4 linked regions of the Drosophila melanogaster genome follow. The protein of the gene in region 4 interacts with the protein of the main gene of each other region in a pairwise test. Each region holds a gene or a part of one and is shown on either strand. Other genes may lie near its edges. The genes, in order: CG15282, CG3598, CG17580 and Tsp39D.

The links.
Region 1: the proteins of Tsp39D (region 4) and CG15282 interact in a two-hybrid assay, tested with the Drosophila melanogaster proteins (one large-scale study listed by BioGRID).
Region 2: the proteins of Tsp39D (region 4) and CG3598 interact in a two-hybrid assay, tested with the Drosophila melanogaster proteins (one large-scale study listed by BioGRID).
Region 3: the proteins of Tsp39D (region 4) and CG17580 interact in a two-hybrid assay, tested with the Drosophila melanogaster proteins (one large-scale study listed by BioGRID).

Annotation. Positions count from the first base shown.
Region 1 is NT_033779.5:14,707,911-14,715,473, forward strand, and holds CG15282 (uncharacterized protein), read left to right. Parts: upstream 1-4,560; 5' UTR 4,561-4,676; intron 4,677-4,732; 5' UTR 4,733-4,831; coding exon 4,832-4,843; intron 4,844-4,914; coding exon 4,915-5,142; 3' UTR 5,143-5,208; downstream 5,209-7,563. Other genes in the region: CG34165 (uncharacterized protein), read left to right, coding at 5,919-5,930, 6,022-6,309.
Region 2 is NC_004354.4:2,932,052-2,940,134, forward strand, and holds CG3598 (uncharacterized protein), read left to right. Parts: upstream 1-4,975; 5' UTR 4,976-5,076; coding exon 5,077-5,895; 3' UTR 5,896-6,022; downstream 6,023-8,083. Other genes in the region: CG32793 (uncharacterized protein), read left to right, coding at 1-491; CG3592 (uncharacterized protein), read left to right, coding at 3,119-3,868; CG14420 (uncharacterized protein), read left to right, coding at 7,432-7,501, 7,604-8,083.
Region 3 is NT_033778.4:12,802,573-12,810,761, forward strand, and holds CG17580 (uncharacterized protein), read left to right. Parts: upstream 1-4,041; 5' UTR 4,042-4,125; coding exon 4,126-4,347; 3' UTR 4,348-4,462; intron 4,463-4,517; 3' UTR 4,518-4,657; intron 4,658-4,714; 3' UTR 4,715-5,239; downstream 5,240-8,189.
Region 4 is NT_033779.5:21,340,577-21,349,914, forward strand, and holds the start of Tsp39D (tetraspanin 39D), read left to right. Parts: upstream 1-4,030; 5' UTR 4,031-4,160; intron 4,161-9,338.

The sequences.
Region 1 (7,563 bases), 6.6 Mb from region 4:
CTTATCAAACATGCCCCCATTTGCTGGGCTAAGTGAGGCGAATAATTCATGTCAATATCAAAACTCATTTACCTGCGGTTGCCCCAGTCTCTCTGTCTCATCAAAAAGCTTGTGACGCAAAAACCAACTAAGAAGTAGATCAAACGAGGCTGTGGAGCCCAATTCCATGGGTTGGGGGTGCATGGCAATTCTAAGGCCAATTGAGGCAAATGCGTTCAACCGCAATGCCTCTTATAAGCCATCGTTGACAACCCAGTTTGGTGACTGCGAAACGAATGTTTCGAAATCTCGATTTGAAATATGGAAAAGTTTTTGTCTCATCTTGCCACAGATAGGCGGCAATGCCGACAACGAAGCGATTTTAATTACTTTCTCCCAGTCATTCATTCATTTCCACTTGTTGCCCATCAGTTAAAAGTCAGAAGAGGAAACTCACCAAATGGTAATTCCATTTCCATTTCGGACATTTCACGCTCGAAAGGATTTTATCCCACACCGACCACCGAAACTGATGTCTATCGTCCTGTGGCCATTACAACTTATTGCTACTACTGCGGCTACACTTAATACACCAAATTAACTTTTTCGTGGGGGGTTTTTCTCAACGCCCCCTTTCCAACACCGCCAAGCATGCCGCCCACTCGAAAAGCAAGGACGCGTTTATCTGCCGGTTATCTCGCCTTTTGTTGATTAATAGCTTTGCGGTAATTAATTTGCCATGAATGAGGTGCATTTGTATAGAACGAGATGGATTGGTATGGAAATAAACTCGAACGCTGAGGTGCGCTCATGGATGTCAATGTGATTATTATTTAAATCAAGAGGATGGTTTGGGAAATATTTGATCTAATGAGATATGATTTACTATGTGTTAATAATCTTAACTCTGATATCAGAAAATATTTTGTGACGCAAATTAGGATGTGGCAAAAAAGTATTGTTATTTGCCATTGATAAACTGTGATGATTGTGAAATGAATTATATGGGTAAGATATAAATACACTAGTGAGGTGGAGTAATGAATTATTCGAAGCTACCTTTCGCAAATCAGTTATTTAAAACAAGCTTATGATAAGGATGTTTGTACTGGAATAGATTTAACCAATAGTCCTTCATCCTTGGCAGAGTCCTTGCATTACCTGAAACTTTTCTCATTATATCTGCACCGGCACAGCAACGAACAGTGGAAACCGAAGTACTCCAACGGCAGAGCCAACTTTCTGCCCGCCCACAGCTTCAGGTTTTACCAATGACTTCCGTCATCACCGACACACTCAAAGTGTAAATTTGCATTTGCTTCTAATTACGAGCGGGTACAAGAAATTGCCCAGAACTGAGGCCGGAGAAGGCCCGCATTTGCAGCATTTGCAGCATCGGAGCATCTTGGCAACTCGGAAACTTGGCATCTGCAAATGGAGGAGCACTTGCGGCAATTGCAATTTAGAATTTCAATTATATTTATATTTTTTATGGGGTTTTAGGGTGGTGCCTAGGTGGAAAATGCCCGCACACACGGAAGTGCTGGAAAACTACAAATCAAGTGCCACGCACGCAAATTTCCTTTAATTAAAACCAAACTTTTAAGAGCCCCTCGTCTGCATCTTCTTCACGTTCCTCGGCCGCAGATGCATCTTCACTTGGTTACCCAACTGCAAACTACTCGGGATCAACTTAAGCGAATCCAAGGCGACATAATCTTCGAGTGAGGCCCAAAGTGCGGGCCGCTTTTGTTGGTCGCAGGGCGAAGGGATTAAAGGCCAAAGTTTGCTCAGGTGAAGAAATACAATTAGCGAGTAGGACGAGGACACTGTGGCACAAATGAAGTACCGAAATTCATTTTAAAATGTCTTGTCCTTATATTACAATGAAACTTACATGCTATTTTTCCCAATTTAAATTGCACGGCATTACTAATTATTCGAAATTACTGTTTAAGTCACAAATTAGCTGCAAAATAATTAAGTTGCTAAGTTTTTAATCAATTCTTACCAAGGATTAAGCAAGGTTATTGCACGACTGTAATGAACTGCATAGATAAATAAAAAGTTTTACAAGGCATAATTATTAGTATTATTAACTGGTTCATTTACGGATTTAATGCCCTTTTTTTGGGGCTCTTTTGGTTTTAATGTGCCTAAAATTAGCTGGGGTCAGGGAATGCCACTCCTGATTGGGATTATGAATATGAAGTCAAAGCCTACAAAAATCTCTTCCAAGTTTGGTTTTGTAAGTAAAATTCAGTTTTCTTCGCGTTCCAGCCGGAAGTGCACTTAGTATAAAAAAAAAAACGCGGTGAGGGCAAAAAGCGGGCCAAAAGGCAATAAAGAAAACTTCGCCGCCCTTCGAAGCGATGCGAGTGCAGTGGGAAACTTTTCTAACCCATATTAAAACATATTTGCGCAAAAATATGCAGATGCCCGCAGAGTGCAAGGAAGTTTTCACGAATATATGCAGGTTCCTGCCATATCTATATATGGACAGGTGGCGGCGGTGCGTTGGCAGTCAATTGCTCATTGACTTGGCTCAAAAATTGTTGAGTGTCGAGTTCTAAGTCCTAAGCCCCTGCTAACATGTTGGCGAAAGTTCCCGGCACCAGATACGGAAGAGCCGACATCTTCCTCTTCGGAATACCATTTCTTTCGGGCTTAGTTTCCAGTTGAGTTTACGTGAGCTTGGATTTCAAGCTGTGCGCGCACATAAGTTTGCGGCTTAAGCATGTGAAATTCATATGGATGGAAATGGAACCACCCACACGCCACCCCACATATTCAGCTCCAGGAATTTGCACCCACCTGCAGGTGGGGCATAACATTCTGACTGGGCTAATGCATTGCTAGCCACCCAAATAACCTAAGACATTGCGTCGCACGGGGGTGCCAAAGAAGTCAAGCCAAGTTACTAGTGCCAAAAGTTTAAAATTAAACGTAGTTATATCAAAAAAAAAACAGCTTGGTTGGAAACGTAGGGTACTACTGAACTATATATAACGAAGAATGTGTATCTTAAATAGTTTAAATGTTTTTTTTTTACTATTTTATTTAACCTTTCTTTCATTCGCCAATACCAACTTAACGTAAATCAAGAAACTAACGTAGTCAACAGTTTGTTGTTTACCTATCGGTGACGCAAATATTTAATTATAAATTCAGCTCGATTAAAGTTTAAAAGAGCAAAGAATGTCCCAAAAATGTTGCGTTGTAAGCAAAAGGCTAATTATGTTTATGCAAAGTGTTTTTTTTTTGAACTTATGGAACCTAATGGAATATAATTTGAACAAAATTATTGAAAATTGACGGTAATTGAAATGAATTTGAACAAATTTCAGTGCACGGCTTTGGGTGTCGTGTTGGGCCACCATCAAAGGAGTCAAAGAGCGTTGAATGTTGAATGTTGCAACTTTGACACGCGACGCAGACGTTGGCCCAGAGTGTTTTCCCCGGAGCTCTGCAATTTTAAGGGCCTAGGCCTCCCGAAAAGGGTTCATTAGACATTTTACCAAAATTACTGCACATTTCCAAAAAGCAACGGCTATATGATTAGTTTTGAAGCGGTGGTTTATTTGAAGTAGAGGGTTTACTTTGATTTAAGTTAAGTTGAGCGAGTTTGCGTTGTAAGTTACTTGAACATTAAACGGATAAAGTCACTAGTACCCACACTAAACAGCTTACTTGCCAACCGGGAAGAGGGACTTGTGGTGCCCGACTAAACACAAATTCGATGAAATAAAAATAAATTAGCTGCTTTAAATGAGCCAAATAAATTCATTTAGGGTTTTATGCGCTCCACTGAAGTATGCCAAAAGGCACCGTCTTCGTCGTCGCAGTCTTTCGCATCACCCTCTTTTCGGATGGCAGGGTTAAGAGCCAAGTTAAAGGCAACACGTATTGCCAAACTCGATTGCCGCTGGCGCCGCACACCAAATGCAATTTCACTTCACCCTCGTCGAGGTACGGTAAAATTTCCAGGGTCTCCGGTCTCCGGTCGCCAGTATTCCCCATTCGCTGCAGGTGATTCCCCATCGAGACACTTATCTATTGAGTGAGCTTGGTTCGCTTCGTTTGGACCGCTCTTGAAGTGAACGCCAACGAAATAAGAAAACAACAAAGTTTCTTTTGATTATGTCAATGGAATTTGTTTATCTCAACGAAATGTAACCGAATTGAAAAAAATATGTTTTTTTTACGCTCATTTGCATTTACTTTTGCCCGGATATAAATGTGGCAATTGGAAGGGGTGATTTGTTCAAATGTCCAGCTCAGTAAGATTCAATAATTATATATACACGTAACACATTAATGTGATTCTATGGTAAACATTAGAGTAAGGAAGCAAATTTGTTTTGAGAACCCCAGAAACAAAGGCATCATCAACAACGTCAAGTAGCATCAACAACGTCTAGTTTGGGTTCAATATATTGATTCTTGGAAACGTGCCTCTAGAAACTGAATAGCTTAGTCATAAATTCAGTAAAAATACTATTTAAATATAAATTGGCAAACTATTAAAATTCATATCAAAAGCCACGCACCTGGCGCCTGTTCCCCTAAAAAAAAATGGAAACCGGTCAATAACCACAACAAATTCAAAACCGGATTGGAAGAGAAACGCTGGTCACCTGTGAGGAAAGCCCCCACGTCTGGTCCAGTGTCTGGGACAAGTTTTTATTTCAGTGCGGGTAAAGAACCTCCGAAATTCAAACATTATATGAATTCAAAAAAATCGTATAAATAGAGAAAGACGTGACAGAAAGGGCACAGTATCGAGTGCAACATCGAAGCATCCTCATCTTCTGGGATATTAGTACAAATTGAATTCATTTTCAAATTCAATATGAAATTCTTGGTAAGTTTGGCCACCAGAGCTACACCTCGCAGGGATTAAGGACTTTATAAAAATAATAAACGGCCATTCAGGTGATCGTTTTTGTGGCCCTTATCGCCGTTGCTTCCGCGCTTCCTCAATTCGGATATGGAGGATTCGGTGGATTCGGAGGATTCGGTGGCCAACAGCAGCAGCAAGAAGGATTCGGCGGTTTCGGAGGCTTCGGAGAACAGCAACAGCAGCAGGAAAGCTTCGGTGGATTCGGCGGATTTGGAGGAATCGAGCAGCAGCAGCAGCAGCAACAAGGAGGCTTCTTCTAAGGCTGTTACTTTAGTTCCTCGACTAAAAATTAAAATAAATTATTTGAACGTATTAGTATAACAAACACAAAACAGTTTTTGTTTTTAAATACTCATTTACATGTTTTGACAATGGCTTATTGTAGGCCTTTAGATCGACAGAGATTTTATTAATGAGTAACCTTCATTTATTTCGCTTGCTTATAAATACGTTTGGGTTTATTTTTTTGGACATAAGCAACATCAAGAAAAATGAATTATTAAATTAAATTAAAAATTTGTGTTTCAACATAAAAAATTGTTTTTATTTAGCTAATCGAAAATCACTTAATGGGTTAATGACATTTTTGTGCTATAACAACATTAATTGCAAACACTTGAATAATTCGCAAATGATGTTGGCATAAAAACCAAAGGCAGATACTGACTCATGCAAAATTGTGAAATAACCAAATGTTCTGACAGCAATAATTTAACAAAAAACCTAATTTGATTAGCGAAGAGCATACGCCAAGAAGAGCTGATTGCAAACCTGTATTTTTAGTGGGCCCGTCAACCCCAGATACTTGAACGTTTTCAACAACAGAAAAAATCCCCTATAAACACAAACGTTCACAATGATTTGAACAGGGAAGTCCGAGCGGCGATCGCACCGTGCTCAACCAGTTTTGAATGGGCATAAAGCCTAACAAAAATTCAGATAAATACTCATAGCCAGCAGCCGAAACTCAAACAGTTGATTTTAGCATTCCGGTGAAATAAGATTGTTCGCTTGAGGAATATTTTCAATATTCAACATGAAATTCACGGTATTTTTCGCTAAAAATTGGCTAATATAGACATCTACGTTATTTTTTAGTTGAAACTAAATGTATTGTACTGTATGTATTATTTTTTTAGATAATCGTTTTTGTTGCGCTCCTCGCCTTTGCATCGGCCCAGTTCGGTCCGTTTGGTCAAATTATTAGGGGTATTGAACGATTTGAAGGTGGTCTGCAACAACAACAGCAGCAGCAGCAAAGCGGCTTTGGCGGTGGTCAGCAGCAGCAACAGCAGGAGGAGGGTGTCATCTTCAGAGGTCCTTTCGGCGGCGGAGTGGAGTTCTTCCAGGAGCAACAGCAGCAGCAGCAAGGCGGTGGAGGTCAGCAGCAACAGCAGCAGGAGAACCTATTTAACTTCTTCGGCTAAAGCTCCTTAGTGAGGGAAACTAGACATAGACTGACCACTATCTATAGAACTCAAAAGCAAGCCATTAACTAAAGCCATGATCGTAGAGATAAACACACGATAAATAAATATTTTTAAAAACACACAATTATAAACCAAGACATAATAATGCTTTTCTATAATCCTAGTTTAAATATTTAATACTAGTTCATGCAAAACCAAGCTAATTTTAGTTTAATAAAGCAATAACGCTTTGTCATATAAAATTACACGAAATCAAATACAAACAATTTGTTTACGAGGCCAAGGAGCAGACAATTTGCCTGCTATTTGGATGTGAATTCAGCAATGACTTCGTGTTTTGTGTCAAAATCGCGATGATGGCCATGGCCAATTGTTATGGCCAAAGTTTTAAGCCAAAAATCGCAAAACTCTAATGAGTGCTATCGTTGAAATCAGAGGAGAGCAAGTGGGTGTGGAAGGGTCGGTGGCATTTTTGGTTCCTTTATCCGAAAGCACCGAAACACCATCAAAGTCATTAAGCGGAAAACCCTTTTGGCTTCTTTTCCACGCATTTTCATTTCGCCTTGTAATGACTTCATCCCGGCTTCAGAGTCTTTGGGGTTTTGGTTCTGGTTTTGTTATTGGAGACAATTTCGAAGCCATCCTGTAGTTGCCTGTCTGACAAAACAACGCCAGTCAGCTATACAGCCAGCGCCATCCACCAAGAAAGCCAAGAGCACCAACACTCGTAACTACAAAACAACTTTTTAATTGCAATTAAATACGTAACAAGTTTTTAGTTGTAAGTGCGACTACGGAGCACACAGGGAACTTAGCCGTGGCAATAGTGCCCATTGGTGCCGGAATATTGTTGTTGTGGGTTACCCTTATCTATCCTTTGCTATCTGCTGAATATATATACAAAGATATATATATATATAGATATATATACTATATACGTATCTATGAGATTGCCATTGCAGTGTTTGCCTCACTCGCACTCTGTGTGTATTGCAAAATTGAGTTGTGCGCTTTGGGGTTTTAATTGTTAATTGTTGGCTCAGCGGGCAGCGCTTTTGACGTCGTTGATGACAGTCGACTGTGGGGCCAGAACGATGTGGATTGGGTCGTAAGAAAATCGCACTTTGGGGATTATATTGAAGTCGGTGGAGAGTGGAAAGTGGGAAGAGGAAAGTGGAGAAAGATAAAAGATTCTGGGCCCAATCCTCTGCGAGGAGGCGGAAGAAAAGGATGTTGCGGATTAGGGAATTA
Region 2 (8,083 bases), on a different chromosome or scaffold from region 4:
ATGGATCCGAGCAGCAGGAGTTCATCTTGGTTGGCGATGATGATGAGCCAGGAGTCTCGCGACATGTGCAGCCAGCTTTCGGGGATGCCCGCTATGTGTCCTACGGCGATTTCCATCCGTACTTTGATCTGCTGACGCAAAACAGGCGATTCGCGCTTAGGAAGACCGGCAGGTCTTTGGAGATTCCCGAAGAGCAGGTGGCCCCCAAGGGAGACTTGCAGAAGGAGGAGAAGCCAAAGGAGGAGGAGCAGAAGGAGAAGCTTCCAAAGGAGGAAGTTCAGCTAGAGGAGATTAAGAAGGAGGAGCCCCAGAAGGAGGAGCTCCAGAAGGAGGAGCCACAAAAGGAGGAGCCCCAGAAGGAGGAGCCACGAAAGGAGGAGCCACAAAAGGAGGAGCCACAAAAGGAGGAGCCACAAAAGGAGGAGCCACAAAAGGAGGAACCCAAAGTGGAAACCCCACAGCCTCTGGAGCAGTCAAAACTGCCAGCCTAATTTTGTAAACGAACAGCCCTCCAAAAATCGAACCCAAACGAGCTCGAATTGAAATAATGAAGATAACAAAGAAATATGATAAGCAAAACCAAAACCAAACGATTTTCAATCCTCGTGAAAACCACAAAGAAATAAATTTTTTTTACATTTTTTTTTTGCGTGTGTTAATGCCTAACCAAAAAGTTAAAGTTTTGCTGGCTAAAAAGAGAGAAAACTATTAGCAAACCTAAACATAATTATTTTTTTTTATTATCGTTTCTTCGGCCAGTTGAAAGTTCAAATCTCTAAGAGCATTGACCGTCGAGAGGCCAGAAACCTGATTTGGTGCCCCGAAAGCGATGGCCTGTTATTGAGACCCGTGCTTTTGACCGATTTAAATATGTATCTAACATTTTCGAACGCCTCTTTTTAGCTTCACCTTAATTAATATTCCCCCAGCGACAATAGAAATTTGCTGTTGGGGTCAAGCATAAAGAACTGACTGACAGCATAATTCCTAAAATGCAAATTAGTCGGCCGATTAACGGTATTTGGCGTAGATACAGTTGTCTGAGCATAATAATCAATCGAAGGCAACCCAGCGAAGCAGTTTTGTAGCGCCTAGCTTTTCAAAGTATTTAAGGAAGTCTTAAAAAGTTCATCTTCACCAACGAGTTTTAAAGAAGATCTTAGAGCTTTAAGCTGAACGCAAGGATGCTAGCAAGTTTGTCCAAATCAGTTAAATCTGAAAAGATTCTCATCGCTAAGCTTAAGTAGGGATAATGACAGGCTCAGACGCATTTGAAGGTTTTTACGAGCTTTAAGCCCAATATTACTGCACAAATAAGACGAAAGAAAGCATTAAAAGCAGAAGAAACAATACAGCTAGATGATGTGTTCGAAAAGTTTAACTTTAGACCATTTGAATACGTAGTTTACACAAAATTAGTTGTGGCATTACAATTATTGCTAATTTAAAACTCTAAAAGTCGATAAAATCATATAAGTTTTGCTTAAAACAATGACAATTAAACACTCGAGTTTCTCTCGCCAGCACATTCGACTTTTGGTTAAGGTAAATAAAATATACACACAAATTATTTTCCAGCTTGAAGACCCCGGGCAACGTTTAACGAGTCAAGCGGAGCTGGAACCAACGATCCATACCAGATGGATGAGATGAGAAGCTGCCAACACATTTGGCTCGATTTTGGCCCCCAAGCCACAAGGCGGAAATTTGCATAATCATCCCGAAAAAAAAGAGCGGACACTATTAGGCCAACATGCGAGCACTTCAGCTGGCCAGTTGACAACATTATTCCAGCATTATTCAGGCAGGCGATCGTTAATTGTTTCCAACGACAATAGGCCGGGGTTAACGCTCAGGCAAGTGGCCAAAAAGCTGGCTAAAGAAGCTGGATGCTGCCAGGCAGAAAAGCCCGAAGAAAGATTCGTATTTTGGATTTGTATTCTTCAATTTAGGCGTGTGTGCAGATATTTGGTCATAAATTCCCCCCCGCCCCAGGCAAAGGTCAGCACCTGCCGAATCGGTTTTGGCCATATAATTAAAGCCTGAGAAGAGCCAAAGAACGGGCAATGAACTTTCAACTCAATTGGGCCCAGCCCATAATTCGGACTTAGGCCAATTTATTAGCCAGCTGCCGGAGTTGGACAAAAACTGAAAAACCAAAACTGGACAGCAGCTTTCTTTGTGCCGTTGCCTCGTTTGAATATGAATCTTTGAGGCCTGACCCCGTTGAACTTCTCCTGCGGCACATTCTTATGGAAATTAAGTTTGCGTTTCTTTTATTTTAGAAATTTTTCGCAGCAGTTTCCGCAGCCTGTTGCCAAGCGGATTTTACTGTGACTTCTTGAATGTCTTGAATAAAATAAGTTTGCATAAAATTGACCCAAGTGCTTGTGGATTTCATTTTTTTGGGGGGAGAAAATCGATTTCAAATTAGCGGATTTATGAAATATATTTAAGACCGTTTAGCGAATTTATATACAACATACATATATGCTAATTTTTGGATGACCCAATTTGGCCCAACAGTTAGTAAGAGTTAAAAATTGAAGACCACAAAAACAAAAATTAATTTATGCGTTCCCACAAACTTTGAAACCAATTTCCAGATCTAGATTAAAAAAAAAAAAACAGTTACTAAACTCTGTACTCTTCGAACTTGGAAAGTTAAAAGTCTTTTTTAGGCATTACAAAATGATCTAACATTTTGGAAATTATATTTCACTATGAATATTTATGAAATGAGATAATATCGGTATATATTAAAGGCACAGTTCCTAAATTGCTGGAGGGAATAAACTATTCTATTTTCTAAAAATACTTCTTTGATCTTTTTAAATTTTTGCCGATGAATTTCAACCTGTTGAAAATTAATAAAAAGCGAAATGAATAGAAATTTAAGAATATAGAATTGACTTTGGTAAATATATTCCAGTTTCCAGTGGGCAGCTATAAAAAATGGTTAAAGGACCGAGGCAAATATTGCATTTGAACACTCATATTATTATCCAAACTATTTGCAAATAATAATTAGTTTAAATTAGTCAGAATGGCCATGACTGCAATATCACTTTTATATCTAAAAGCTGTGAGGTAAAAAAAAAAAAACTCAAATCTGGAAATGAGTCAAGGGGAGAACGCAACCACTGCAAAATTGGTTTTCTATGAGTTCGCATGGCCACTTTTGGTAGCCGTTTTCGAGGTGAACCTCTACAGGATCATTCTGGAGCTTTTGGCCCACATCCTGCTGATCGTAATAACCGTGGTGATGGTCAAAAAGACCTCGGGTTTGGATGACCACAGCAGCGGCCAGCATGCCCTATACGCCATTTTGGGACTGTTTCTATGCGTGGGTGAATCTCTGTTGGTATGCCACTCCTGGTGGTTAGGAGACTTCATCTCCGAAAACCGGCTCAACCTTCTGCACATGGTATTGGGAATGGTGGGACTTTGGCTGGGACTGGTGGGGATATTCGCGAAGAGTATCTTCAAGAGCAAGATACATGAGCCGCACTTTAATTCCAAACATGGATTGTGTGGCCTTTTGGGATTCCTGCTTATCGCTGGGGCCGTGGCCAGTGGTTTCGCCCTGGTGTGCTTCACCCACCTGGCTCTGCACGTCATCCACCGATTGATGGGCTTGTGTGGCTTTGTGCTCCTCTCGTGCAGTCAGTGGTTCGCCCTCAATTTGGGATTCGCACGACGGGAGTGGAGTAGTTGGAAAATTAAAAGGCTCAGGATCTCCACGCTGGCCGCCACCATTTCAGTGGTTAGCTACGAGTTCCTCTGCCTCTGTAGAGACATTGTCCATTTGCTACCCAACAGCTGGTTCAAAGCCATCGGATTGAAAATTGATCACCTTCACAATTAAATTTTATGACCAAGCATTGTGAATAATTAAATTGAAGTGCTGAAGGCAATTGCAAAATGTTTATATTTTCTAAGCCCTACCATATAAAAAAGTAAATCACACAAAAATTACATTTATAGGAATTCTATTCAGCATGACAGCAAATATTTGGAAGATCAAGTGAAGTTTGTTAATCAATTTCGAAAGAAACATTAGCATACTTTCTGACTTTCAACTGAGAAATCCCTTGGAAAACAAAAACACTTTAATATCTATGCTTGCTATTTGGTCATATTGCAGTATGCCTAAGATTTTAAACAAGTTTCAACATTGTTTAATTAAGAAATAATAAATTCCGTGTCAAAAATTGTAGATTTATTGCACGACTAAAGAAAACAGTAAAATTACAGAGGGCTCGCATGTGAAATATTGGCCAACCTTCAGTCTTTCACCTGTACAATTGGCCATTTCCACGCATAAGAAGCCTCTTGGCTGGCATATTAATCACGGGACAAAGGCATAATTCCATCCCAACGTGGCTCGATCAATCAGCGATGCTGGAATACACATTTGCCCCCTATACCATACACCCCTTTCATCGATATTCACATTGGTCATTGGGTATATGACCGGTGGCCGGGGATGGGATACGACCACTTCGCATGCGTCGCTGACTCCGAGAGCAGGTCCATCATAGGTTCGGATCGGCCCTTGACTTCTCGGGTTTCTCGGTCTCTTGGGATGCCGAGATTTGTGCGTGTCTCTGATTGTTTTGTCATTAGCATGACCGCGGCGCTTTTTTTTTTTTTTGGGCCTTTGGTGTTTTTGGTGATCTTCGACTTTTTGATTCGGCGGCTGCTGATTTATTCAGCGCTCTTTCTTTTGTCCCACCGGCGGGTCACTGACATTCGTTTCTAATTCTATTTTTCACCATTTTCTACATTTCTTCCACAAAATTTCGCCACTTGAAATTATGCCGACATCGACCGCAATTATGACCAATGTTCTTGTGGCCTGAGTGGGCTCTCTCTTCTCGGTTTCTATGGGTTCTAGATTATGGATTCTGGATTTTTGGCCAGAACTTTTTCGCATAAAAACCTAATGCCGCCGCCACAGATCGTACAGTTCTGTTTGGGCCTTGCTTACAATTAGGATCCGGTCGGCAGTAAATCTTTAATTTCTGTGCACTTTACGTCGAGAAATCTTCAAAAAAAAAAAAAAAAAACAAGATGTCCAAGCTGGGTGCTATCTTGTTGGTGGGCTTGTGCCTGTTTGTGGCCGTGGCCTTGGCCGAGCCACGCCTTCAGCACGTTCAGGGGCGCAATCAGGTGCAGGGTCAAAGGGCGCAGCAGCATCCCTACCTCTTCCTGTCAATTCCCAAGGGTCGGGCCAACGCCGGCGCCGTCGTCCAGGGCTTCGAAATTGTCGAGGAGGAAGATGATGATCTACATGATGAGGACCAGCACGATGACGAGACGGAGGATGACGAGGAACTGGAGCATCAGCTGGGCCTGAACTTTGCCCGCAGCGGTCTGGCTTACAGGCAGAACCACGCTGATGACGAACAGGACGATGATCAGGATCAGGAGCAGGATCACGTTCAGGATGAGCTGCCCAAGAAGCAGATGATGGTTAACCGGGATCAGGCTGGTGCCATTATGGTGCCCGATGGCATTATCGAGATCGAGGGTCAGAGTGTTCTGGACGAGAAGACCGGCAAGGCGGCTCTCCTAGTGCCTCGTGCCGCCCTAGACGCCATTCCCGATGGCGCGGTGGTGGCTCTTATGGAGCGATCCGCCTCATCCGTTGATGAAATCGAGGAAGAGCGCGCCAACCGCGTGGTAGTTCGTCGCCGCAAGAACAACGGACGCAGGAACATTCGCCGCCGCGGCATCAACAACAACAATATCCGACGCCGCCGCCCCGCCCAAAGGCGTCGCCGAGTGGGTGGCAACCGCAGGCGCAATGTACGCGTCATTCGCCCCCAAGGCGGCAACCGTAGGCGTGGCAACCAGAGGCGCCGCGGACAGGTCGTATTCCAGGGTTGAGACACGAAACGAAGGTCGTCCTAGCCCCATTTCTATATAGTATTATAGTTAAGATCCCCTAACGATCAGGACAAGAAATTTGAGACACTTGATGACGATGCGACAAATAAAATGTGATATGAAAATTATAAATATTTTTTTTCGTATTTTTTATGGGTGGTGAAATTATGATGTGAAATTAACCAACATGCAAAGACTATGGTTTTGAATCATTAAGTTGAAACTTATTTTAAAGGTTTTGCCGTAAAACATCGTATACTACTTGTATAACTTTATTATTTATTTATCATATATGGTGTACCATTTCCTAGCAGTGTATAAGATACATAAGATTGCTTTGCCTCAAAATAGATCACTGCTTAGCTCCATTGATAGAAAAATTTGCATTTATCATGGAGTTTATTTGTATCATGGTTCAGCTTTATTCCAGTTTATCCTTTAACTTCGACACAACCTTAGTTATAAGTCACTTAATGCCCATAGGCTATCAAAAGTATGATATATGAATTAATAACTGCAAATTTTGTATGATAAAGGATCCGAAAATCAGATGGTACACACATATATACAAACAATGGTAGAGAAACTCATTTGAGAACATCTCTATAGAACTGTAAAAGTTTCGTAGTAAACTATTTTTGCTAATCGTTTGGCCAACAAAATAGGTACTACCGAAAAATAACCGTTTAGAGATAAAATTCATTTGATTGTCGTATATTGGAACCAAAGATACTTTTGGTCTTATCCAAATATATATATTAATCAAATGAAAGTTTTAAAAAGTCACGAAATAATTACACAATAACAGTATGTACAATACAAATGTTATATGGAAAATTAAAATATATATTTATTGAAATAATTTGATGTCGCATTCTGATTATATTTTGTCATTGTTTTTGGGAGAGCAAACATACAAAAATAGATAAGCACATATTTTGGAATCGTTGTCAAGAAAAGATTTGCCTCCGAACTATGCAATAAATCGCGAACCCTTTGTAAATTATAAATTTTGAGATTTCATTAAGTTTTGATTTTTTCGAAACGAATTTGGAGACTTCAGTTGAGTACTCCATTCTTTGGTGTGGAAATGCCGAGCACTGAGTGAGCTGAAGCAAGCAGAGAACTGACATCCCAGAACATCTGTGTAAGCCAGATTCCGTGGGTCAATCTCGGCTTGACGTCAATCAATCATCGGCTACTCGGCGATGGATAGAAGAATGGTTTTGGCAAAAGAGATGGGAAATTAGCATAAAATTCGTACGCCTCTGACCCGCGACCCGGTTCACTTTGACCCCGGGCGAACTTTTGCTAATAGAGCTGGCCAAGAAGTGGGAACTGAAAGGAAATGGGGATGCGGGGCGGATGATAGCCATCGATCAGCTGTATGAGCTCCAAGTGGGTATAAAATCCCGGGTCAGTCCATCAGTTGTCAGTCAGTTGTGAGTGAAAACTCAAAGACAACAAGTGAGTTAGGAACCCTCGATCCACAGTCAAGGAAGCCGATTATCCCGATAAGGAGAATCCATCTGCAGAATGCATTGCCTGCTTCAACTGAGTCTGGCTGTGGCCCTTTGCGCCCTCTTAGCCCCATCCACTACCTTGGGTGAGTCCTCAAATATTAACAGAAAGTCGTCAGTCAAGTCACAACTACTTTCTTTATATGTTCCTTAAATATTTCGTATAATTTTAAAATATTTTATCTCAGCCGAACGCCGCAATGTGTACCGCCTGGGTGGACGCGCCTCCGACGCTCAGATGGAGGCCCGCTTCACCTCGTCGATTGCCAACAAGCTGACATCTCTGAAGGGCACCACCACGACGACCACGGTTGCCCCCACTACCACCACCACGCCCACCTCCACTACGGAGACGACCACGCCGACTGCACCAACAACGTCCACTGGCACCTCGACGAGCACCACGACGCCCACAACCTCCGACACCACCACCGGTCGTGCCTTCCCCGCAATTCAAGACGATGTTGAGGAAGATGATGAGGAGATGCCCAGGGCGTTTGAAGATGAAGAAGACGAAGGTGATGACAGCCTGGAGGACGAAGATGATGACGACGATGAGGAGAGCTACTTTGTGGCCGCTCCTTCCGCCGGTGGCAATAGCAATGCCGTGCAGCAGTCCTCAGAGTCCGGCTCGTTGGTCCGCCCCTCGGAACTCCAGTGGCGCCAGT
Region 3 (8,189 bases), on a different chromosome or scaffold from region 4:
CGGCTACTTGGTCTGCGTTCAAAAGTTCAAAGTGCGGGTTCTCACAAAAAAAAAAAAAAAAACGAAGGAAATAATGCAAAAAATCGGAAAGGAATGAGAAATGCATGGCAATTTTGTTATGCAAATGCGCCAGAGAGCATACAAATTGACAGCGAATGGAGGGCGCTCGGATGGCTCGCATTGGAATGTAGAATTCGTGACATTTATTTATTGAGATACAACGGACGGGATTTGGCCATTCGATTGCTTACACAGAAAAAAGATGAAATTTATACGACAATCCGATTGATTTGATTTTTCATTTCGATTTGAAGAAGCGAATAAATAAAAGTTCCACGTTGCTAATACTTTCAAAACTACTCAACAGACCACTCTATTTGTATAACCTGTGCATAATTTGGAGAACAGCCTTTTTTTAGCGTGCACAAAGGTGGCTTTTAAATTCATTTCGAGATCCTACTTGGGGGTCGGTCAGCCAGTCGAGAAGTCAACAGGACTTTCTGCACCATTTAACCTGAGAGCGTCTTGCGAATGAAATCAAATTTGGTGTGAAGCCAAAGCGAATTGTTGTCCCAGCCGAGAAAAGGAAAAAAAAGGAACAAACGATGGCCAAAGAAATGAAAATTGCGTGCAAAGTGGGGAACCAAAAAAGGAAGCTGGCTCACCTCCAATGTAAATAAATGGCAAAATGGAGCAGCGGTTCGCACGCATTTAAAATGGAAATCATTTATGGTCGACAGAGCTCCATTCTCTTTCAACTTGCCACCCATTTGCATTTCCGGCAATTAACAAAGGACTTAAGCGAGGACAATGCATCCTCGAAAAATAAGCCAAGTGAACTCAGCTACGAATTGATGCGAGCAGCTCTAGTGCATTTTGTAATTTTAAATTGTTTAATTTATAAGATTTTTATTATGAAATTGTATGGCGCTCTTTTTTCAGATCTACTCCTCTCTTTTCGTTTTCCTTTCGGATGCATTTTTTATGGAATGTGCAACATGGCGTATGCGCAATTAAAATGCCAGCCAGCGCTTACACATTATTATCATAATTAATATCCAAGCCTAGTAATCGACCAAAGCCAGCTCAAAACTCTGGGAGAACAACAACAATTTAAACGATTATACACATCTACATATATGTATGGCATATGTATGCAAAATTTTACTCCATTCCATTTTATTATATGGCTGACACACATCTCAACGGTTTAATTAAAAGGCATAATGCCTTAAGCCCGTTGCCTCCAACATGGGCGCCCTGAAAAAAAGTTACAATAAATTTTTACGACCCTAATGCGGAGCCAAAATGACACAGAAATAAGGGTGCCCCTGGCAAAGTGGGTGCAGTTTTTTGGGGGGGGCAAGACCCATATGTTGCAGGGCCGCACGAAGGGGCAAAGAGCAAACGCTTGTTAGCTTTCGCTTTTAATCAGCTCTGAGCGCGTAGTTTTCCGCGTCTTCTTGCGGCACAGCCAGATAATGTGCCCCTCCGACCCCTTTTATACGCATATATGTACATATACTTATATGCGGAGAGAAATATATGCTAATTTTAATTAGCTGGAAATTTACATATGCCACGCACACTATCCTGCCAGCGCGTTTGCTCTTTTTTGAGGACACCAGCACGACAATGCCAGAATTTGGATAGACGCTTTCAAACTAATTCAATAGTTCGGTGGAGCAAAAAGTTGGCTAACAGATTTATTTAATTAAATGGGATTATGCTTGAAAGCGACTCCACAACGAACCTATGCTCTGGGTAATTTAAAACTAACAACTGATTTATTTAATTTGAAAACTTTTTATAGCATCTGCAATTTCACTTCAATTCTTATATGTAATTGTTATATGCTTTTAATTCTTAAATGGTTATATGTATAAACGTCATTGGCAGTGTTTCAAATTGAAATGCAACTATTTAGTGCCAATAATTGTCAATCGGATTTTGGCCCAAAGGTGAAAATTGCATAAAGTTGAAATTAAGTGTCACCACACAACTTATATTGAGCCGTTTACAGGATTTCTCAATTAAAAGCGACATTTAAATTAGATTAAAAATGGCAATGTATAATTTGTTTCAAAGAATAACTATGTATGCCACAGGCCACACACACTAACCTGCTCGCATTTTCTCACACCCTTTGAATCCTTCTTAATCTCCAGTCGGAGAGCAAACAAAAAGCAAAAGCAATCTTTCCTTTGTGCCACGTCTCGAAAGTCTGAAGAGATCCTTGCCAGCACAGCCTATTTGCTGCTGTTTGCTCCTTTTGAGGACCTTTGCTTTTTCGAGGGTAAACGCTGCAGTGCCAGAGGTGGAGAACTTTGCAAGACTGAATAAAAGTCGGCCTAAAGTCTTATTGTTTTCTGGTTTTTATCTGAAAGCTGCTGCTGCTGCTGCCTCAGCTCTGTCATTCGAGGTCCTGTGAAGTTGGCGATTATTGTTGCAAACTTAGTTGACAACTTGCCTGCTCGTCCTGCCATCTGCACCGCCCACTTATCGCCACCACCGCCCACCCCAAGGCCATGCAGATGATGGGCCGCCAAGCGTAATAAGGCCGAAGCCCAGGGAAAGAGGAAGTCTAGTGAAAATAAACAGTCGGACAGCCAAGTTGGGCATAGTTGAGCTTCTCGGCATCTCAGCTTCGCAGTCTTGCAGTTTCCCAGTTTCCCACTCTCACAGTTTTTCAGTTTCCCAGTTCATAGTTTGCCTGTTGTCTCCCCATTGTCCTGGCCATTCTTTATTTTTCAGTCCTTCCACTCCGGCTCTATATTATTATTATGTCTTGGCCCGGACTGCACAAAGTTTTGCCATTCTCTAACGACTTTGAATTTTTAATAATACCCCGCTGGAGCTTAACAATTTTGCCATCGTTCGGTTGTAGCGGCTAAGCTTTGTTACCAATTTAATGCATTTCTTGGTTGACGGAAATTGAATATCCGTTAAGATATATTAACAATTTATGCCGCCCTGATTGCCGACCCCCAATGCGGGTGCGGAATGAGGAGATCTATGCCTTTTTTGCAGTAAAATTGAAAACGAAACGAAACGGAACCAAAGCACACAGATACTATACACGAACGAACGGTAGCTGTGGCAAGAGAGCAGTCATCATCAGGGCCATAATGAGCAAGTCAATAGCCGGGCGGGCCAGCAGCAAAGGGAAAAGTCGAGGGGAAAGCCAGGCAATCGATGACGGAGCAAGGAAAATGCCGGCTGCCAGCAGTCATGCAGCGACGTGCGATAAAAAGCAGATTGCAATTTGTTTTACTGATTTCCATGCTTTTGGCTTTATTTGCACGACGGAAACTTTCATTAACATCAAACAGAAACTGAAATTGAAGCAGTAATGGCATCGCCAGCACTCCAAAGGATACAGCCACGGGGAAAAGCTGGAAAAGCCGATCGAAATGCACTTAAATCATGGCAAGAATGAGATCTACGGCATGCTTAAGTGGCATTATATGTACATACATATGCGCATATACGAGAATGCCATTATTAAGTTGCATCCTTCATTTGCTCAATTTGGCCAGTTGACCAGCTGGCCATTTAATTGATACGGCAAAAGGTCAGGGTGATGGTAGACCCACTTGACACCTCACCAAATTCCAGAATTCTTTGGGCAAACATTTGAGCAACATAAATGCACAAGTCCTACCAACCAATTAGTTGGCAAATAATGGAGAGAAATGACTTTTCATCTCTCGACCGCAAACAAAGTCCTTTTGTATTCCACCCAGGACCTCCTGTTCTGAAATTTATGCACGGACTTGGGCCTGCAAGGATCTCGAGGAGTGGCGGACGACTCTTGTTTTGTGTTCCAAGTAATTTGAACAAATTTGCGAGACATTTTGTGGCCTCCGAGCAAATATTTCAGGCCAATGCTAACCACCCCATCATCATCATCATGGCTTGGGCAGGCCTTTTGCGGACAAAGGCCAATTAACTTAAATAATTAGCCAGAAGTTTTCGCCATCGGAGATGAATCTCAGCCTACGAGATGCTCAAGTAATTTCAATAAAATGTTATCATTCGGTTGCTGTCGAGTTGCCAGGGAAAATCCAATCAATTATCGCCCAAGGGAAGCAAATTCGTACAGAAAGTTAAAGGCCCAGGGAAATGGGAAACAAGCTGCGCCGCCAACCACAAAGAGTTGAAGTTGACGAGGAGGAGGTGAGATCCGACCGACCCCAGAAGAAGCCACCATCGTCATGGCCCTTCTGGCGCCTGGTCTACTGGCTGGGAGTCCTCATCATGGTCATCGGCATCGGTGTGGGCATGTACTTCACCCTCAAGTCGGACTTCGGTGAGTGCTCCTCCTACGACGTCCGTTGCGATTGAGTGCTCCTGGCGATATAGAAACTTCCACGGAAATGGCGGAATTCATTACCCATTGAACTTCAACTAATTTGAAGCAGCTTGGCCTGCGAAAGCAATTGTTCTACATTTAGCGAGAGTAAGTATGCCAGCAGATATTAAAGAAAACTATTTAAAATTATTTCCCAAATTAGATTTAATTAAAACTTATACACCAGTTATGTTTTCTTGTCGAAACATCAGTTTGATCTTTTTACTTTTTATCATCGCAGTCTACATTTGCCTGTTTGTTTTATATATACTCCACAGAGTTGGTGAAGATAATTAATATTGGGTTTGTAATATTATTTTTCATTTGCCTTGCAGTATAAACCAGCTTATCTTTTCGCAGATTCATATGTAAAGTTATTCATTTGTCTGTTCTCCTGTTTGAATTGTGATATGCTAAGCTTGGTTATATCACTATCAACTTACGTGCAGTCCAATACTTGTCATACATGAATTCTAGCAGCTGGATCTTAATTAAAGCCGGATGAAACAACCCACCCCACACTAGACCGCCTCCTTTATTGTTAACAATTACAAAAGCAAGGCCGAAGCCGCGCAATCTCCAGCAACACATGCAGATACATTTGTGCATGTAGACGTGTGTATTTGTGATGCTATTCAAACTTATTGGAGCGCTTCCTTTTGATGGCGTTCTGGTTGACTCTTCAATGGCGAAACACTTTTTAGTTGAATGAAGCTAGTGAATGCACATATTTTGGGTTGCATATAAAAAATCCTACGATTATTCACTGGCCCTATTTATTTTGGTGTTAATTAACGAAGTGGAGAATGGCATTCATTGATAAAAGTGTACAACGATTTTTATTTCACATATTTATGCTATTGCTGTAATTAAAATAACAATTTGAATTAAAACTCTAATTTTAATAAATAAACTAAAATTGCACACTTATGACGACACATTTTATTTAAATTACCAGCTTAGGAAGTTGATTGCTTCTACTAAACGAGACAAAAGTTATTTATTTCGGTGCGTTGGGGGTTTATCTTAAAACGACTTCTTATGAGAGGGGCCATCAGTCAAGGTCAAGCTTAACAAAGATTTGTCGGCAATTCGAGCTTTTATTTCTTTGACACTTGCCAGACTTCTTTCGTTCGCACACAGCAGGTGAAATATAAATAAACTTTTTAATGAACTTTAAGATTTATTGCCAGCAGCAGCCGCAGCAAGTCAAGTCTGACACTTTGTGGCTTTAAATTTTCGGACGGGAATGTGCTGTTTAGATAAATTATACAGCACAATATATCCCGAAGGCACTGGCTGGCTGACTGAATATTTTGAATGTGAAGAGCACCCTGCCCTGAACTAAATATTCTGCAAATAATTGCACTCGACATCGACTGAATAGACCTAGCCCACAAATAATATCTTAATGCTTGCTCTGTATTTTACGAGCTTCCACCCATTAGACGCACACACTGCGTATGCGTAATGTCGAAATAATATCATTAGTATAATTGAACATATCTTGGTGTTGGCTCGGTCAGGCAATCAGATGTCACAGGTGATGTTATAAAATTCACAAAGCAAGCGGCTGATGAGCTGATTATTTACGTTCCAACATCTTTGAGGAGATAATTAACAATGTCGAGACATCAATTATCGCAATGTTGCAGCCAGCCCCCCAAGCGAAATTGAACTTGAAAAAGTCAAGGACTTGGGACTTGGGAATTATTTGTGTCGCTCTTGTTGTTTCACTATGTATCCTTGCTGTTTCCTTAGTTTTTTCTCTCAGCTATTTCTGTTAGCCATTTCCCCCTTTCTGTTGCCAACAAATCTCACCGGCTCAAGTACAAGCGATTTGGCTGTGTATTGACCCAATTGTGCTTACTTCTCTCTTACCAGAAAACGAAAAACTTTGGCTGCAAGTTAAGCTGGACAAAACTTCAGGTTGAGAACGGTCGCCGGAGTGCTTAGCCAGCGATTGCTGATTCGAGTGCTTCTGGCCAGGTTCCTGATCCGGGTTTAATTTGTGCTCGATTGGCCAGTAAAAATGCGAACGAAATCCGAGTTATTCGGGGCTGGGGCGCCAATTCAACAGGCACGTACTGCTGCCAGGACGAAATCCACGGGCGCTGACATATCCACTTCCATAAAGGACATACAAAACATTTGACATAATGTGGGAGTTTTTTGTGCCGCATATATACATATGTATATGTATCTGCTTTACAAATGGTGCCATACAATACAGCCGCACGTGCTGTGGCATGTAAATAATATGCATGTGAGTGTGAGTGAGAGTGCGAGTGTGTGAGTCGTGTGTTTGCGTTTCCGTCTGTCAGGATGCCGCTGCTGTGTTGTTTATGCTCATCGTCCTTGTAATGATTGTCGCCATTCGGGAGCCGCCTGCACGTGTTTCCCTTTCGATATTTGCGTTGGTCCTGCATTGTTACCATGTTGTTCTATGGAAATGTGCTTAAAGTCACAGCCCGGCCAAATAGTCCATGAAAGACCTCTGTGATTGCAGGTATCGGAAATGTGTATTTAAAATCAAGTACTTGTAGTGAATCGTAAAACTGCAACATCCATATTACGCAGCTGATATTGGAGTGCGCTTAATTTTCACTAAAACGCCTTAAAAAATATATACATATTGCTATATTGTTCAATCAAGTAGGATAAAAGATAAAAGATTGCCACAGCATTTGGTAGTCTCGTAACAATAAAAGTCAATGGTTGTCCATTTCGTAAGATTGGCAGAATATATCATTATTAAATATTAAATATTAAATATCATTATTATATAGATTTAAATAAATGTTGTAATACAAACCATGTTGTAATACAAAAAATCGTTGCGCTCAATCTCTATATATATCTAATAACTTATACAGTCATGAAATGAAGTTATATCAGCTTTATAGGAGTTGCCTACATATGTTGATTAATGAAGCAGATTTTTAAAAATAGCCGTAAAGGTGTAGCATTTCACTTAGCTGCATATATCTGTTGGCATTTACATAGGTTAACAAATTCCCTAACTGAACGAAGTGCTTTCGGCGTTTTCTGGGCGCTCGCATAAATCATATTCCCCCAGCTGGAAGAGGATGCGGAGCTGCAGCCATTTTCTATCCATCATCAGGCGGCAGATAACTTAAAGACCACTCAAGCACTCAGGAGCAGATCATTGCCCAAACGAAACCGAAGGGGCACATCCTGCTGAGTCTTCCCGAGTCCTTTTGCTCCTTGTGCTCCAAACGAGGCTGTGTCCCCTGGCCAAAGCATTGTGGCCAGGCCATGCATTTGTTGGACTGCATCGGAAACAAGAAATTGTAAAGTGCATGAATACAAAATGAACTGCGAGTACATTAAAGTCTCGCATCTCGTTTTTTGCAACTAAAGGGGAATGAATACACTCGAGCGTAGTTCGCAAATACTTCAAATACTTCACATGCAATAAAAACGTAAAAAGAAAGCCAGAACGGAAACCGCAGTTACAGATACAGATACGGACCACATGCATATACGGAGATACAGATACAGCTACAGCTACAGATGCAGATACAGATACAGATACAGCTACACATTCGGAGGGCGGCACTCAAACAATTTGCATTGTCTGCTGCCGGCCATTGCGGTTTGTTCGGGATTTCTGTTCGACGTTTCTCTTTTGCCTTCTTTTGCTTTGTTTTTGCCCATTTTGGCCCATTTCGTATGGTGTTACGGGGGCGGATTGAGGGGTAAAACCATGAATTGAGGCATTAATTGAATTGATTGAAATTGGCATCAGTGTCGTGGGCAAAAAGAGTGGACAACTCCAGCACCCACTGGCCATTATGCAAAACAAACCAAA
Region 4 (9,338 bases):
GGTCATATAATTGTAAACTTGTAAAAGAGCATGTTCGATCCTATGAAATCTATATTGATATAGATTTACTGGGCGAATATAGGAAGAACACATGACTTTGGTTTCGGGAGAAACTCAAAACATGACAGAAGTAAAGAATGAGCTTCACTTTTCAAAATGATTCTTCTAAATTTGTTGCAAGTACGCCATACTTGAGTGCCGCGACATAAATAAACGTAGTTCTAGAGAAAAGGACATTTGCAAGCAGTAAATTGACTGATGTAGGAAGCACCAAGGAAATCGACTGCTTTAGCAAGCAGGACTGCCTTAGATTGCACACGTGGGTCCTTTTCTTGTTCATTACATGCCATGAAATATGAATAACTTATTGGTCTAATTATACAAATTGGTATTAGCAAGCTAAATAAAATACTTTAAAACATAAACAGATAGATTAACGAAGTGGATTACAAATATTTTGATGAGCTTAGTATATGTTTTAATGATCTTCTGAAAGTTTAGGCACATTTTTGATAATTAAAATGAAAAAAACCGGCTACTAAAAATATATCTGTTAAATATCAAGAAATACGTATACTTTAGATAAGACCTACAACTATTTATAAGTTACGGAAGCCTATAATTAGCGAAACTTAGTCGTAAGCTTAATTTCACGTGCACTTTTTTCCGAAAGAGAACCATGAAGAAGGCTAACATTCGATTGTACTTAAAGTTATGGTTCAAGTTTTGTATATATGTATGTATAAACTTATATCCAGATCGATCTTAGATAATTAGCTATGCGCCTATATATCAATGTATCTTTGTATGTATGTATATCGCAATTTATACATTCATGCAAAATACTAAAGCTAAGAGCGCTTTATCACCTTAGTTCTTTTGTTAAAGTCTTTTTTAATTTACAACCCTAATTTTGAAACGATATGACATTCTGTATGTATGTATATCATAGGACTTACTGTATATAGTGTGCATAAATACATATAATTGTTTGTAATAGCAGCAAAAACATTGAATCAATTACCGTTAACTAGCGGTCCTGCCGTCTGAGGAACGACGGTCTACAAAGTGACGCCCCAATAAGTTAATTTACCACCCATGATCTTTTTAATGCACTTGAAACCTTCCATTGGATGCAAGAGTAGAAAACGTGGTAAGAGGGGTGTGTGGGCGGACAGGAAAACAATTAACGTACCGAAACTAAAATTGGCACATTTCCGTTATGGGTCGCCAGACTTAAGACTCTGTACGCGGGAAAGGGACGTCGATAGTAACGCTCGGACGGTAAACAGTAATAAAATAACGGTGCTCAGTGGGTGGTGAAGTCGGCTGATGCGACGAGAGGGGGCTTGTAAGTGTGAGTGAGTGAGGGTGGCTGGGGTCTTAGCAATAATTAAGTAAAAAATTGTAGTTGGGGGAACTCTCTCCTCTTCGGTGTCGAGTTAAGCTTGTTTATTATGTTTGATTAGTCAGGATTTCGTATTTTGGGTAGGTCGCAGGATGTTAAGCTCTTCCACAAACTCCAAAACATCGATTTGTTCGAAGCAGTGCAAGATTCTGAACTGAGTTTCAAAACCTTCTCTGTCAATCAAGCCCGCGTGTCAGTGTGTTTGTTTAAACACAACATTTCGGAAAAAGTTCTAATGCAAGTTCTAATAAAACTTTTCACTTCCTCGGGAATCCTTTCTATTGTACAATTATTCTTTTTTATTTTTTATTCAATTTGCAATCGATGTACCTGTGTTTAACTGAAGTGGTTAAATGTTACCGGTAGATAATTGAGACAGTAGAGTACTGTTACCAAGAAAAAACAAGTTTATTTTTGGTGAATTTCGCATATAAATACATTTATGTATATACATACAGATATGTTTTATACTTAAGTGAAAAGCCTAGAAGGAATAGCTGAAAATCTGCAATTAAGCGAAGATATCGAAATTAATTCTGAGCGGGGTCTATATAGCAATATTCTTAAGCGAAGTGCTTTTTAATCGTACAGATTGGAGAACATTAAAAATTCTGTTACGATTGTGCTAAATATACGCAAAGTAGGACGAAATATATTCGTAAATAAAACTCGCAATATAGATGTGTAGCTCCATAGGTGTGCAATGTAAATGAACAGGAAGAGACTCATATAATATATTTAATGTTATATAGAAATACCCCAAAGGATCAAATATTAATTCAAAAATTAGAAACGTTTTCCCAGTGCTGTAAATTATATGAGAAGCCTATTTTGAAGAGCATTTGCTTAGTACAAGTGAAGAAAAGTATATGAATATTTAAATAAGTAATGATAAAAATAACAAATTCATAATTATATGGAATCTGTAATATGTATACATAATATAATAATATAATATGTATACATTCTCACGTTTAAAGCAAAGATTATTTAATAAAGTAAAGAATAAACCGGAACTCCAACACTTTTGAAAAATTCTGTGATAATTCTTCATATTTTTATTAGTCTTGTAAATTACTATGGATTTGCCAAAAAACTTTTTGCCTCGCCTACTTCAACGTCCAAAGACCGCCCAAAACTGCCACACCTACACTTTTAAAATATTTTTAGAATTTTCCGTTTTATTATTTGTCTTGCCAAGTTTTATCGGTATACAAAACAATGTGGCCACGACCCTTCTTTCACCTACAAAACGAACAAAACTGTCACGCCAATAATTTTTAAATTTTTTCTCATTTTATTCACCAAAATCAATCGATATCCTGGAAAAATTATAAAATTTGGCGATCGAATTTCCACTAGCCGAGTAAAGGGTATCTGATGAGCGGGAAATCGAGTATAACATTTTCTCTTGTTTACATATATCCTTTTACACTTTTACCACTTTTCATCCCCAAGCATCAAATTTTTCAAAGTCCTGGTATGAATACAGAAAAAATCCTATGATATACTCTTTTAATGGGCAAAATGTATTTATAATATCATTAGGTTTTTAATTTAAAACCATTCAACAATGGTTCACTTCTATTTTACCCATTACTCGTAGAGTAAATGGGTATACAATATTGGTTGAAAAGTATGTAACAGGCAGAAGGAAGCGTTTCCGACTATATAATTTATATATATTCTTGATCAAGATCAAAAGCCGAGTTGATCTAGCCATGTCCGTGTTGCCACGCCCACAAGAATCACAAAATTTCCAAGCCCACGTGTAACGTGTAACGTGTAATATAACATAAACCGATTCCACCTTATTCTTGCCAAGAAGGTTGGTTTAAGGGCTAAATCAAAAGCAAAAGGAGAGCTAAAACACGGTGGAAATTTTTTAAAGCGTTGTTGAGTAGAGAACGTGCTAAGTTATATATATTTCATAAACCACCGCGAAAGCGAAGAGGATTTATCTAATGGGAGGAAGGTATATATATCATGTAAATGTTCCTGATTCTCTTTTCTTGATCGGAATCTCCAGACGACTCTATATGCCTATGTCCGACTGCATTCGTTTTCTTGGCATTTCATTTGATGTCATCAGGGACTTATGTATATGCAAAAATTGAATACAATCCTGTTTTAATTTTCACTACAAACATAGTTTTATGACAGTAATCGAATCTCCTTTTAGCTAAACTTAACATTGCTTCTTTTATAATCAATCTGGGTTATACAATTTTTATCTACGATTCGAATCCAGTCTACTTTAGTAAAAAATTATGGCAACTCCCGACTTCTGTATACTGCAGTATGGCAGCTCCCGAACTGTGTAGATGTTGGTATGGCAACTCAAAATCACCTGCAATTGCTACTGAACATTCATATTAAACATAATTACGAAAAGACCAACATTAAAATAGCGTTTGTATTCGGCAATACAAGATTTATTGCTGAGAGGGGAAAAAGCGGTTCTAGCATCAACACGTAATAAAAAGAAAATTAACCAAAATTGATTTTCTTGAAATAATGTTTCCAGCACCGGGATAAGATAACAAATAGTGGAGTCATTCAGCAATCGTTGATTGGCGTGAGGTATCGATGACCATGCGCTATCGATACCTCCGTTGGAATTATCACATCGTAGCTCTACTGTTTGTCAAGTCTCACTTGAAAACATCCATCGAAAGTGCTGTTGTTCTGATTAGAGCGCGGGTGCGAGTTAATCAAGCGAACCGTTGCGTCCTGGTCCTAAATTTGAAAGGTATAAATATTTGGGTGAAACCAATCAGCTGCAATAGATGATGCGGTCCCTTGCGCCATACAAATTGGTATTAGTATTGCCCTAGAGGAGTAATTGTGTGTATGTATGTTGGTGGGAGAGTGGAAAGTGGTTTAAGTGAGGGATGCGACCGAACAATATGCACTTCTCCCTGTGCTACCTGAGATCTAGAGTGTGGAGAGTGATTCTGTTGACTAGTTTGCGTGCTTGCGGCAAGCAGGAGCTGCGGTCCGGTGTGATACATGCCTCGCGAAGTTGCTCCAAGTCGTAGTGGATGGTGCTCCAGGTGCTGGGATGCGCCTAATTGGAGATACACAAACGGTCAGTCAAAAGCTCGTGAAGTGTGGGTAATGCCTATATATATCCGCCACCCGCCTACAAGCGGGTTCCGGAAGTAGGCGACGGCACGCAACCATCAACCAGAAGCATCATTATGCACACATGCAGCTGGACATGGGGAAATCCTCTCAATAAAGCCGCTAGGCGGACATTGATTCATATGTTAATACACGTGTATGAATATGACAATTGGTGAGAGCGGGAACCACCAGTTACGCACAGTGGCCAGATCGCACTAGCGCACTATTCGTCAAGGAGTCAGGATTTGGTTGTCGTCTCAAATAAATAGCTAACTTTGTTAGAGATAAATGGTTAGGTTTAATCAAACTAATCGTTTAATTTCAAGGTAACATAAACTCATATTTTGCTTAAACTAAAAACGGTTTAATATAAATAAGTCTGACAGGACCGTAAAACTGCTCTCCAAATTCGGTCGTCTGGTACCTGGGCGCAAATCAATTAAGGAACTATTAACTCAGCAATGGGAACACTACCAAACACTGTACAATGTAGTAGCAATATTAAATATAATAATATAATAATAAACATGGATGCTTGCTTCTGCAAGCTAAAGTATTTAAAAAGTATTAGAAATGGTCGGTAATCGTAGAGTAAGAATTCACTTAAAAGGATGTTACAGGTAGAAGAACGCTTTTTCCACCTTATAAAGTATTTCTGTATGTATTAACACTTAACACATACGTATATCCAAACTGGTTTATTACGCAGTACTAAGAAATATACGGCTGACGTGTGTATTTTACCCTACATTGTCATCCGTGTGGCAGGTGTAGCCACTTTTTACGCAGCTGACACTATTTCTAAGCTATCGATTTTGTCTTCTATTCCTTTCCCATTGCTTTGAATGCCGATACTTGGCCTATTGCTGGTGGTGGGGTGGCACTAATAATTTAAAAACCGACCTATTTCAGTGCAGAGTTCAAACTCATTCAAACTACACAACTATTACAGCAAGCGCAATATACATACATATGTATGTATGTACATATGTATTCCTGTCCTTCCTAGTTTTCGTTCTCCATGTCCGTCCGTATGAAGGTGGAGATCTGAGGAACTATAAAACCTACAATATTGAGATTAAGCATATAGATTTCAGAGGCATAGTTTGTTTACTCATGTTGCTACGCCCACAAACCCTGCCAAAGCTGCCACGCCCACACCATTGGAAAATGTGTTGATATTTATATATCCGTTACTCGTAGAGTCAAAGGTTATGATCAGGATCAATAGCCGAGTCTATATGTCCCTGTCTGTCTGCTCGAATGTCTATGCGTCCATATGAACGCCGAGATCTCAAAAACTATAAAAGCTAGAAGGTTGAGATTAAGCATAAAGATTCTAGAGACATAGGCGCAGTGCAAGTTTATTTCAAATCACCCAAAACCGGTACGCCCACTGTTTGTTTTGATATATTTTCCTATTTTTATACCCGTTACTCAGATTAAAAGGTGATACTAGATTCGTTGAAAAGTGTTTCCGACCAAATCAAGTATATATATCCTTGATCAGGATCCATAGCCGAGTCAATCTGGACATGAAAGTCGAGACCTCAGGAACTATAAAAGCTAAAAGGCATACAGATTCTAGAAACATAGACGGAGCGCAAGTTTGACCCATGTTGCCACACTCACTCTAACGCCACGCCTACACTTTTGAAAAATGTGTTGATATTTGTTCACATATGTATTAGTCTTGTAAATTTTATCGATTTTGCCAAAAACGTTTTTGCCACGCCCACTCAAACCGCACAACCGGTCACGCCCACACTTTTGAACAATTTTTAAATTTTTTTTCATTTTATTTCCCAATATCTCTTGATATCCCAAAATAAATGATACTTTCGCGTTCTCATTCACACTAGCTGAGTAACGGGTATCTGATAGTCGGGGAACTCGACTATTCTCGCATTCTCTCTTGTTAGTTTTGTAAATTTCTGTCGATTTGATAAAAAACTTTTTGCAATGCCCACTCTAACGCACAAAACCCGCCGAATCCTGTCGCGAACCCACTTTTGGAAAATATTTCGATCTTTTTTCATATTTTTAATAGTCTTTTCTTTCCAAATTCTATCGATATGCCAACAAGGATGTTAAATGCTTAAGCTGAGTAACGGGTATCTGATATTCGAGGAACTCGTTCATTCTTGCTTTTTAAATTCATTTAACAGTTTTTTAATGCAAAATTTGTTTAAATTAATGTATTTTGTATATACTCGTAATAGTTGACATTGTAAAGGTTCGGTAAAGTTGTACATTGAAATAACTCCGGAAAAAAGTTTTTAAAACTTCTTCAATACAGGAAATCCATATCGTTAGCCGGGAATAGCTTACACATACAGAATAACATACAGGAATAATGAAAAGACCGGTGTGTTTGAATCTTGTTCTATGATTATCACTTTAACAGAGTACGGATAAAAATGAATACTAAACGTATACGAGCTTAAATAGCGTTAGGCAGTTGGTTTATTTTTCTTCGCGTCTTATAGCATGTAGTATGTGCATATATCGAGGGTACACTGTACCTATAAGTACACAGCAACACTTAGTTGCATTGCATAAATAAATGTCTCAAGTGAGCGTGATATAAGATCACCCATTTATGCTTTAAGCTAAGTCAGCATCCCCACGCTGGCCGCTGGCCATATATGCGCATAAGCTCTCTCTCTCTCTCTCTTATACATATATATATACGCTGCTCTTCTGCCGCTGTCGACGGCGGCGCAGTCGCAGTATTTAGGTAAGATTAGACACTCTGTAGAGGTTAAGCGGGCAGAACCGTTTCTGCTACTCGAAGAGATAAGAAGAAATAAAAAGGTGGCCTGACGGCTGCACCCAACTGCAAGGAAAACACGTGTTCTCAATTGGTGGCATATATTGGTTTATTACATGGCGACCGTGAGGCAGGAGCCTGCGATCTGAGGACTACTGAGGAAATGCTGCTAATATTGCCGATTTGATTTGGGAATTCTAAACAGCGACAACAGGTGTGAGAGGCAGGCCGCCCCTTACACCAGTGCGGGAGACCTAGAGACGGGACACTGATGAAAAAAAAAAAGAAACAAAAATACTGAGTGAGTAGAGTGTGGTAATGGGCAAACGCGGATGTCAGGAAATCAAAAATAAAGGTATAGCACATATTAAGTGGCTATGATATACAAATAAAACACCGCCCCCATGGGCAACGGCACAGAAATTAACTGCCGAATTAGACTTTCTGAAAGAAAACCTCCAGCAAAGAAAGCCGAATACCACAACTCACTCAGCAAAAATAGAAATAATCAATGAAGAAATAACTGAAAATTCAACATCACCCAAGCCGAAAAGACCCGACGTCTGCATGAACGACTGCCCTCGACCATTGTAAGCCGCAACAGCAATTAGCACGGCATCCTGCGAGGGTAGGATTAGGATAAAGGATAAAGGATTCCACCGGCGCGCCGCACATGACAACAGCGAATGTCTACCAAGCAGACGTTCGAACACCCTGCTCCTGTCGAGCAAAGGGATCTGCCAAGTATCAAAGAGGTAATAGAGGTAGATCCGTCCGCGGGACCAAAGCCCTTGACCATACAAGAGTACAAGGCACGGACTGCAGCGAGGGAGCAGCCACCTAAAAAGAAGAGGGGTGGCCGCCGGATTAAGTTGCTCAGCGCCCGGAGGCTCAACATCGAACTACTGAAGACGGCAACTAATGAGGAAGACCGGCAGCGCTACAAAGAGCGCCTTGCAGCCATCAATCAACAACTTCGTGGTGCGAAGTAAAGCGGCGGGCTGCGTTATACGCCATAGCCTCAACCGCCCAAATATTATATTAATGTTGTCGATGCGGTTTCCGCTGCAACAAAATTACTAACTTATCAGGGACCCATTTCATAACTAACACATTATACTCAGTCCTAAACTTAAAATAAGTAATAATATTGTAAAATTGCAAATTGCAACCGATGTAAACTGAGTATAATGAATTCATCTATCAAGTAAAAATATGTTTAACAACAGTTTAGACCTATTAAAATTTCGAGCTATATTTATATCTGATCGAGATAACAATAATTGACCAATTCTCAAAGTTAAAATTCTATTTGTACTTTTGATATACAAATAAAGACTAATTTTCCCCATATCAAAATGGGACATAAGTCGTGGATACAACCCCACAGTTAAATTCAATGTACTTACTATTTTTGATTTTAGTTATCCTATCAGCCTTTTAACCTGGCCTTAAAACTTTATCAGTTTCACAAAAGATCGTTGAAAAGACTTACATGAGTCGAGCCAATGATTTAGACAAAATCTAATAGAAACTACACCAAAAAGGTACAAGTGCGATTACATCGCTAAAAGGTACATACATGGAATGGCTAAACTTAACCATATCCATAAACAATATTAGAGATGCTTTTGATAAATCCTATAAATGTATTAATAAAACCGCGCTGATCAAAACTCAGACGCTTATTTTTCACATAAAGGTATTGATAACACAATACAACACATTACAAAACCTAATAGTAACAAACAAAAGCAAACTCACTGAAGAACATAAAGTCCAATGCTTCAAAGTTCTCAGTTCATTTGGTAAAAGACTACATAATACCAGCGTTAGACACAGTATTATAATAGAAGTCCCAACAGAACTAACCAAAATAGCAGAATTCGACGAAAGCCAGTTAAGAGACTTGGACGAGTCGCAGCCGTTAGAAGATTTAGATATCGAAAGCGATATCGAATCAATAGAAGAATTAAAATTTAATACCGTACAACCAAATACAAGAAACATGGCCAACGCATTAGAAGC